Linked DNA regions of Oryzias latipes. The protein of the gene in region 2 purifies or fractionates together with the protein of the main gene of each other region. This does not show direct contact. Links are inferred from orthologs where the notes say so. Each region holds a gene or a part of one and is shown on either strand. Other genes may lie near its edges.

Region 1 (4,245 bases), on a different chromosome or scaffold from region 2:
CACACAGGGTTGTGAGGGAACAGTGCACACTTTTCTGGACATGACAGGCGGCCTGATCGGCTTCATCCTCATCATCCACAGCCACAACCGTCTCCATTAATCCCTCCAGGACCCTCTTCAACAAATGCTTCAGTGCTACAAAAATCAAGCAGGAAAACCATATACCAGTAACTGAAAGTTTGGTGAGTCACTGTATACACTGAGAAAGTATATGAAAGTATTCAGCTCTTACCTCCACATTCCTTGGCCTGCAGAGAGACCACATAAGGAGTGACAGACTGTCTGAGTAGGTCCGAGAGGCTGCTGAAGGTCAGGTCGTGATCGGGAACGTTGACACCTGGAGAGCAGGTCAAAGAAACGTCAAACCGCGCCAAAAATAGTGGGGTTTTATCGGGTTAGCTGGTTCCTGAAGAATGTACGCCGCATACCCAGCATGAGGGCAGCTGTGGGAATTTCACTGGCCCTCATCTGCGATGCCCAGTCGCCGTGACAACGAGCGGAGGAACACTTCCTGCTGAACTCCAGTAAGCTGTCCAAGATTTTCCTATGGAGTTCATCCTGCAAAACCTTAAAATGACATTTAAAAAAAAGCATCAAAAAACGTATCTGAAGGTTATATGTGAAGGTGGAGTAATGCACACTCCACCAAGCCTTCCAGGGAGAAGAGACGGAGAAGCCCACTGCTCCACCTTAGGATCCCTGTTTACACAGGTAGATATTCATATTTACTAGTTTGTTGTTATCAAATCATTTATTTGTTGGTGTTTTTCTTTTCATTTGGTTGTTCATTGATTTTGTTGCATTATTCCAATTGCCCTGAGGCTTGGAGCCCCTCCCCACTGACTTTAGGATTTAGGTCAGGTGAAGCTGGGAGTAGAAAAGTGACTCAGGAAGAATAAGACCAGAAGGTTCACTTGAATTTATTTTTAAGCGTAGTGATGGTTCCGGCAACACCGACGCGCCGGCTCACGTGTCGAGCTCATAAAGAGAAACCCTCTGTTGGTGCGCGCATCACTTCAGGAGAAGTCACGTGACCAACACAGCCACTGTGTGTGTGTGTGTATGTGTGTGTGTGTGTGTGTGTCACACAGGAGTCAAACAAGGAAGCGCGTCTACCAGCAGTGTTGCCAGATTCTGCGGTTTCCCACCCAATTGGGTGGTTTTGACTTAGAAATTGCAGAGGAAAAAGAAAAAAGAAGAAAAAAAAGTTCATGCACCTGATCCGTGTCCAGTTTCCCGGTTTATTATGTTTCATTTTACCAAATCTTCCCTAACGGTGTTGAATGCTGTGTTTTTATTTGGTTGGTGGAATTTCTTCATAGTTTTACTAGTGTTTTTAGCTTTTGGTCCCCCTGTTCCTCTCAGTTTATGCTGAATCTAGCAGAATACCAATCCATTTCAAACAGACTCTTTTTTTAATTATTATTTAATCATTTTATGTTTTGGAGGTTAAAGCAGAACTGCCAAACTACCTCCTTCATGCTGGGACATTATAGAGCGAGACATGGGAATGAGGAACTACAAAGACAAATATTGTTTTTACACTAGTTTATGTATATATCTGTTTAGTTTTTTTAACTTGGTAGCCTGCAGTGATGTTTTCAGTCCAGCATGAGTCTGCATCGAATGACACAGTATTGACAGATTATCAATACGGTTTAGGAATGTGCCAAAATACAACATGACGCCTCATCTACCATCACTACACTGTTGTAAATGTATACAAGTGCCATATATATTGTGTCCTATGGACTATTTTGCCTCACTGAAAAATATTTATGGTCATTTTCTATAACATTTCTTGTTTTTACACCTCTCTGTGTTATTTTAACTATTTGTTTATTATTTATTATTTAGACCTCGGATTTTGTTTGATTATTTATTATTAAAATCAAAGAGATGCATATCTATACGTGGGTATATCAAACTTTGGATAGTTAATCGTGACTTGATTGGAAAAGTAAAAAATACAAGTAGTTCTAAATTATGTTATTATAGTTACTCAAATCAAAAATATACACATTGGTATTTATAGATAAAATACATGACACATGAAATTCATTAAGTGTGAAGTTTGTCTGAAAAAAAGGTTTAAATCTTTGCTTTAAAATTAGAGTGATTAAGCAAAGTTATATAATCCCACCCCTAGTATGATTTACATGACTTTTTAAAAAAATATTTATTATATTCTAGTTCAAAACTTAATAAGAGTCATTTTTACTTTACCAGTCCAATTGCAGATCATTTGTCAAATTCATACGTATTAATATAAAATCACAAAGAAAGTGCCTATTGAATTTGACTATATTTCAGAAGTTAGAATCCTGTTTATTTTACTGAATTTTGATCAGGCACCTAAGTCGATACCTAATTTGGTTTCGACTAAAACTTAAAGTAATTATATTCTCTCTTCAGCGTTTCTTACCTCAGTTTCAGTTTCGATCTGCTTCCACAGATCCTGGCAGAGCTTGAATCGCCTCTGGCCGCTTTCCGGACCCGCGCAGTCATGAATAAAATAACTTTCTGTGTGGACAAAAAAAAGAAAAGACAAGTTAGCATAGAGTCTTAGGAACCATTATAAAACACTGACTGAGACTCCTCACCCTGACTGACATCCTGCTTCTTCCTCTTCTTCGGACTGGGCTTAAAAACAAAGCATCCCTGCGGACAGCACAATCAGAAGCAGGTAAAGAAAAAAATATCGCAGCCATCTTGTTTTATTTTCGTTACGACTTCAAGTAGATCTGCGCGCAGCAGAAAATATCACCTTTGACACAGATGACGTAGACATCTCTGAGATATCGAGGAGGCCGCCGATCCTCCAAAGATCCAGGCATTCAGTAAACTAGTGTTTAGTGAAATGCCGGCTGCATGTCTTCCTAAAATCGTCGTTTTCCCGCCAAAGTGACGTCACAGTTTAGCCAATGAAACGGCAGTAAAATTGAACGCCCCGCCCAACCAGAATACGTTCACTTCTAAGTGCCTTATTTAGTAAAATAAACTTCTTTTTTTATCTTAACTTAAGAAAAAGAAAATCTTATTAAGTGTCAAATAAGTTTCTTTTTAAAGTAATAATGGATTAAATTATTTGAAAACAAAAATATTGTAATCCACCTATAATGAGATGAACTGAAAATATATTTAGAACATATTTGTGCAAAGTAAAATAAATACTTTATCATAAAATAATTTTAAAATGTATTTGAAAAAACTTTATTTTTAAAATTGTTGTAGAGATCTATAAACAGCACTATTGGTCTAAAAATTTAGAGCACCTTATTTATATTTTTTATTTAAATGTATTCTGTGTAATGTCTTGATAGCAGCTGGATCTACAAAAAAGGAATCCCAAAACTAATTTATAGACCAAAATTTACTTTAGTTTAATCAAAATCACCATTTTTCTTACCTCAGGAACGCTCTTTCATAGATATTTTCACAAGTTCTTTGGGGCTCGTAAGCTTCTTTGCTCCCAAACCAGCTTCCTAGCAATCTGGAGACTGTGCTGACTGACCCCTGCGTGTTTTCAAGTTTACCGTCTTGTTTTGTCTTCAGGTAGTTCTGGCAAAGCTTGGATTTGTGTTTTAGGTCATTCATTTGTTGTAGTACAAACTCTTAACCAACTCAGCACCCAAGCGCTGCAGTCTTGTGGTGGCTGAGTTGGTTTAAGGTGCCTCTTGCCCTATTTATATCACTGACCCCAAAACAGCTCCATACCATCACACTTCCTCCTCCGTGTTTCACAATTGATGTCCCACACAGTGGAGCTGTTCTTTCACATTTTGACAACACATAAAAACAATTTGAAATAAAGATTTTTTACTTTTGATTATCGATTTATGAAGGCTTCTTCCAGTCTTCAGTAGTCCAGTGTTTCCTGAATCAGTGAGGACTTTTTGCTTTGTTGTGATGTTTCCGTAATGCCTTTCTTGCTGCAACTTGTTTTGTCAATCTCATACCTCCAAGTCTATTTTTCACTGTGTAAGTGGAAACCCCCTTTAATGGCCACAATTAAATTGTTGTGAGTTTGGGTCTGTTTGACCTCTTCCTATCAGTTTCCTGCATTTTCTGAGTGCCTTTTGATATTGATGAAAACCGTACCTATTGACACCTTAACATTTCATAAACATATAAAGCACCACACACGCAGAAACATTAAAGAATTTAAAAGTTATTTTTGGATACTCATTTTCTTCCTGTATCAATCATTATTTGGTTGTTTTATTAGGATATTTTGTTTCACTG
Region 2 (3,992 bases):
AATACTTTTCTTTTACTTCTGGAGACGATTTTAACTTCTGCTTTTGTTGCGTCCGTCCTCCTGCCAGCCTCTAAGAACTACATGCACAGCTGCATCTACCTGTGGAGCTGGAGCAGGACTGTGGCTCAGCGGCCGGACAGGAAGAGCAGGAAGGTGTGTGCGGTGATTGTGGCTGAGCTGCAGTGGGCCAAAACCGACATACCCTACCTGGCTCTCAACACCTGTCCTGGTAGGTTACGACCTGTCTTGTCATATCCAAAATACTTTAAATACTGAACACATGGCAACCTGTAACGAGAAGAAGCTATTAGAAAGCTAATAATCAGCAGAAGGTCTAATGTTGGCCTGTGTTCACTTCTCAGGACGTGGTTACATTGTGTGTGGTGATGAGAAAGGCAGGATATGGACGTACCACGCTGCCAACCTCCAGAAAAATGGCTATCAGACTGGAAAACCCATCCCGCCTACTGATGTAGGTGTCTCGCCTGTATGCCAATGCATGAATTATTCGTTTTGTGGGTAAAAATTTCTGTCTGCAAAATTATCTCTTGTGCTTGCAGCATAAAAAAAACCCCACTAAGTTGGATTGCAGAGTATGAAAATGACTTGAAAGCTCCCAGATGGTGGAAATAGTCTGGTTATAAACAGCGGCGCTCTAAACAAAGCTAAAAGAAAATCCAAACAGTGACCAGAATCCATTCCTAACATCTGGACAGTGTCCTCTGTTTAGCTGGGATCATGTTTTTATGCAACAGAGGATAAAACATGACATTTTTAAGCTGTAAAGCCAACCCAACTAATAATATTTTACATTTGATTGTTTTATCATGTTATTAAACTAAATACGTTCACAGAAAGTATTTCAGTTTAGCTATATGGTTAGATTTACTACTATTTCTGAGTCTCTTCTGGAAGAACTGTGGCCAAATGCTCACAGGGATTTCTTTTTAATTGTGGTACGATCCCACACACGACTGAATAAAGGTACAAAAAAGTCAAGCTAGCAAGAGGCTTGCGTTTATCCTGCCTTAACAAAGAAAAATGCTTTTATGTTGTTGATAAATCTATTTATTCCTGCAGCACAGCTTGATCAGAACCACTGTGGAAGCCTTTGCAATGGCTGTTGCTCCACTTGCTTTGACCTTTTTTAGGCATCTAAAATGTACTAATATTTCAGATGCTCTTGAAATGTGAGGTGACTTCTTTCTGTTTGCACAGGAAGTTGCAAACAAGGAAATGCACAGTTTGAACGGTTTAATTTTGTATGAAAGTCCCACCGAAAATGTGTGTGATAGAGAAAATCTGTCATTTCCCGCTGATGCTGTTAACAGGAGCCAAAAGGGTTTTACAAGCAAAGGTTCATGAAAGATTTCATCATTATAAGTGTATATTTATAGTTTGAAAGACTGACTTTTTCTTTCAGACTTGATCCCGATCAACTAAGAATAGTTCTGACGAGCCAGAAGATGCACTTCAACCCTCCTTTTATGTTTGTTTCTGTGAAACGGCACTGATGTTTGCGGGTCAATTTGACCCGAGGCACATTTAACTTCACAAAGACATCCAAAATTCGCTAAAAAACTTTGTTCATGTCTCATCATGAACTCCAATGCTAACCATTTCAAACAATATTTAGTTCGATGATGTTCTTTACTGTTCAATATAAATAATTCCTTTGTTTGTTTTTGTTTACAAAACATTTTAAAAAATATTTATGTACACTGAAAATGCTTACATGGTAATTACAATAGTTTACATGCAGTTGATTTTGTAAAATCATATATATTTAGATTTTACTAACAGTGTTGTTTAGAAATTAAAGGGTCAACTTGATCTGCTAACTTAAAATTACCGTATTATAAGCATGACATGAGTATTTCTATTGAAAGTAACTTTTATAGAATATATTTTGTAACTGATATATTATTTTTATGTTTGATTTATTAATCATTTAGTGATTTCTTAAAAGAAGAAATTGACAAAAAAATATATACAAAAGAGGAAACATAACATACAGGAGATGGACTTAACCCTCCTTTTCTTAGTTTCTGAAGAGTAACACTGATGTTCTTGGGTCAATTTGACCCGAATTACAATTAACTACACAAAAGTGTCAGAAACCAAAAAAGTCACCAAAAATGTTCTTTATATTTGTTATTACATCCTTTGTTAACCATTATACTTACTATTCACATATCATTGTTCAAAGAGACTCGTTTAAACAATAGCAATTATTATATATGCAACTTTTTATTTTACATTTTCTTTATGATGGCATTATTTTGATAAATTAAAATAAGACACCTCTTATGTTTAGGGTCAAATTTACCCACTAACCTAAAATACTAAAGAACATGTGAGAATTTGTGTTGAAAGTAACTTTTATTTAAAGAGAGAATACATTGTTTTCATTTCCATTTTCCAAGTGTTTCTGCATAAACAGACTTTTATGTTAAAATAAAGGACAAAACTAAAATACGATGGATGAAAAAAATAAAAAACAGTGAATATTTTTCGGCTTTCTTGGCTTGTGGTTCTATTTGTAAGCAAATTATTTTGATTAAGCTAAATATCCTCCCAAGATTGATGTATTTCCGGCTTTCATTGCAGGTGTTGGAGTGGCCGGCCCCAAGAAGGAAGGGCCTGGGCTCTTTGGAGGGCCCCTCCATTAACAGCGTGGCGATGGATCCTGAGCTCACTTACATGGTCGCCCTGAGTGACAAGAATATGGTCATCATTTGGAAGAAAGAGGAGTGTTCATGAGCATTTTCTGTGGTTGTTTTTAAGGTGAAAAAAGTTTTGTTTCTCTAACAATGTTCATATAGATTTTTATTGTTGTTTTCCCACCTGGAGAAGGGGAACTTCTAAGATGTAGAACTTTGAAATGTTTTTTTTTTAAATTGTTTTTTAAGACTGAGTTTGGTAAAAAGCTAAGTTTTAATTTCCCCTTTTTTAAATTAGAGAAATATACTACTGTTAAATATGTGAAAAGAAATCTGTGACAGTTGTTCTAAACTGATTTTGACTGACGTTAGTTCTCAACGAACCAGAATTTTGTTTAAATAATTGTGCTTGAGAATGTATTTTTACGGCTTTATCTCTGACTCCACAGTATTAAACTTCCTTCTGGGTTAAGGGAAAAAAAAGTCAAATATTTTTATTTTTCTTTCTTTCTTTTCGCCATGTCAGCTTTTTCAAAGCACCAGTTTCATCTAACTTTCAAAATACGAGTGCAGAGCTACCAGATAAGATCAAATCCAACCAAAGCTGATATTTAAAGATCGCAATATTAAAAGCACATTTTTGAAAAACTTGTTTGATGTGCTAATAAATTTAGATTCTAATGTATTTGCAGTGTTTTTTTAAAGAAAAAGACTTGAAATGTGATTGCTGGTCATAATTTATGTTTCAATAATAAAACATGCAGCAATCCAGCTTTATTGCAAGAAGTGAAAGTGCTTTAAAAGATAAAGTACTGAACATTCCCTTCTTTCTAATTATGATGAGCTCAAGGAAAAGTTGGATTTTTGCTTAAGAGTGGTCGAACTTTTTGTGCGGCCATAAAACCTACCTTTTTAAATAAAAATGTAAAGCTTTGTCTTAAATTATTTTAAATCAGTTTTTGATGAAAGAATTGTTCCTTATTAGTATTTGTAAAACTGTATCTTTGTTGCAGTATGGAAGTAATCACTGCCAAATTTGATAAGCATTGACTAATGTATTTATTCTTTCCAGTAGTGGCAACGTCATGGTTTTTTTAAATTAAGTAGTTTAAAAGGTAATTACTAAAGTGTATTAGTTCCTAAAAGTACTTTAAATAATACTTTTGAAACCTTTTTAATAAAATGCTGTATAAAAAAGTGGATTAGATAAAACAGCCAGGCTCATTTAGTTTTTTTCTTTTTCTGCGCCTTTGAAACACATTTTTATGGATATAACATGACTAAATTAGCACATACATTAAAAATAATCCCGCTGATGTTTAGTTTTAA

The links. The genes of interacting proteins can lie anywhere in the genome.
Region 1: the proteins of lrwd1 (region 2) and orc3 purify together in Homo sapiens (affinity purification with mass spectrometry; 4 studies listed by BioGRID and IntAct, with this or other methods). This does not show direct contact. The link is inferred for Oryzias latipes from reciprocal best matches to the Homo sapiens genes LRWD1 and ORC3.

What each region holds. Positions count from the first base shown.
Region 1 is NC_019880.2:10,107,288-10,111,532, forward strand, and holds the start of orc3 (origin recognition complex subunit 3), read right to left. Parts: upstream 2,915-4,245; 5' UTR 2,792-2,914; coding exon 2,768-2,791; intron 2,662-2,767; coding exon 2,604-2,661; intron 2,524-2,603; coding exon 2,426-2,523; intron 568-2,425; coding exon 429-567; intron 338-428; coding exon 233-337; intron 136-232; coding exon 1-135. UniProt on the Homo sapiens protein: Component of the origin recognition complex (ORC) that binds origins of replication. DNA-binding is ATP-dependent. The specific DNA sequences that define origins of replication have not been identified yet.
Region 2 is NC_019872.2:25,220,966-25,224,957, forward strand, and holds the end of lrwd1 (leucine-rich repeat and WD repeat-containing protein 1), read left to right. Parts: intron 1-67; coding exon 68-229; intron 230-362; coding exon 363-472; intron 473-2,610; coding exon 2,611-2,763; 3' UTR 2,764-3,344; downstream 3,345-3,992. UniProt on the Homo sapiens protein: Required for G1/S transition. Recruits and stabilizes the origin recognition complex (ORC) onto chromatin during G1 to establish pre-replication complex (preRC) and to heterochromatic sites in post-replicated cells.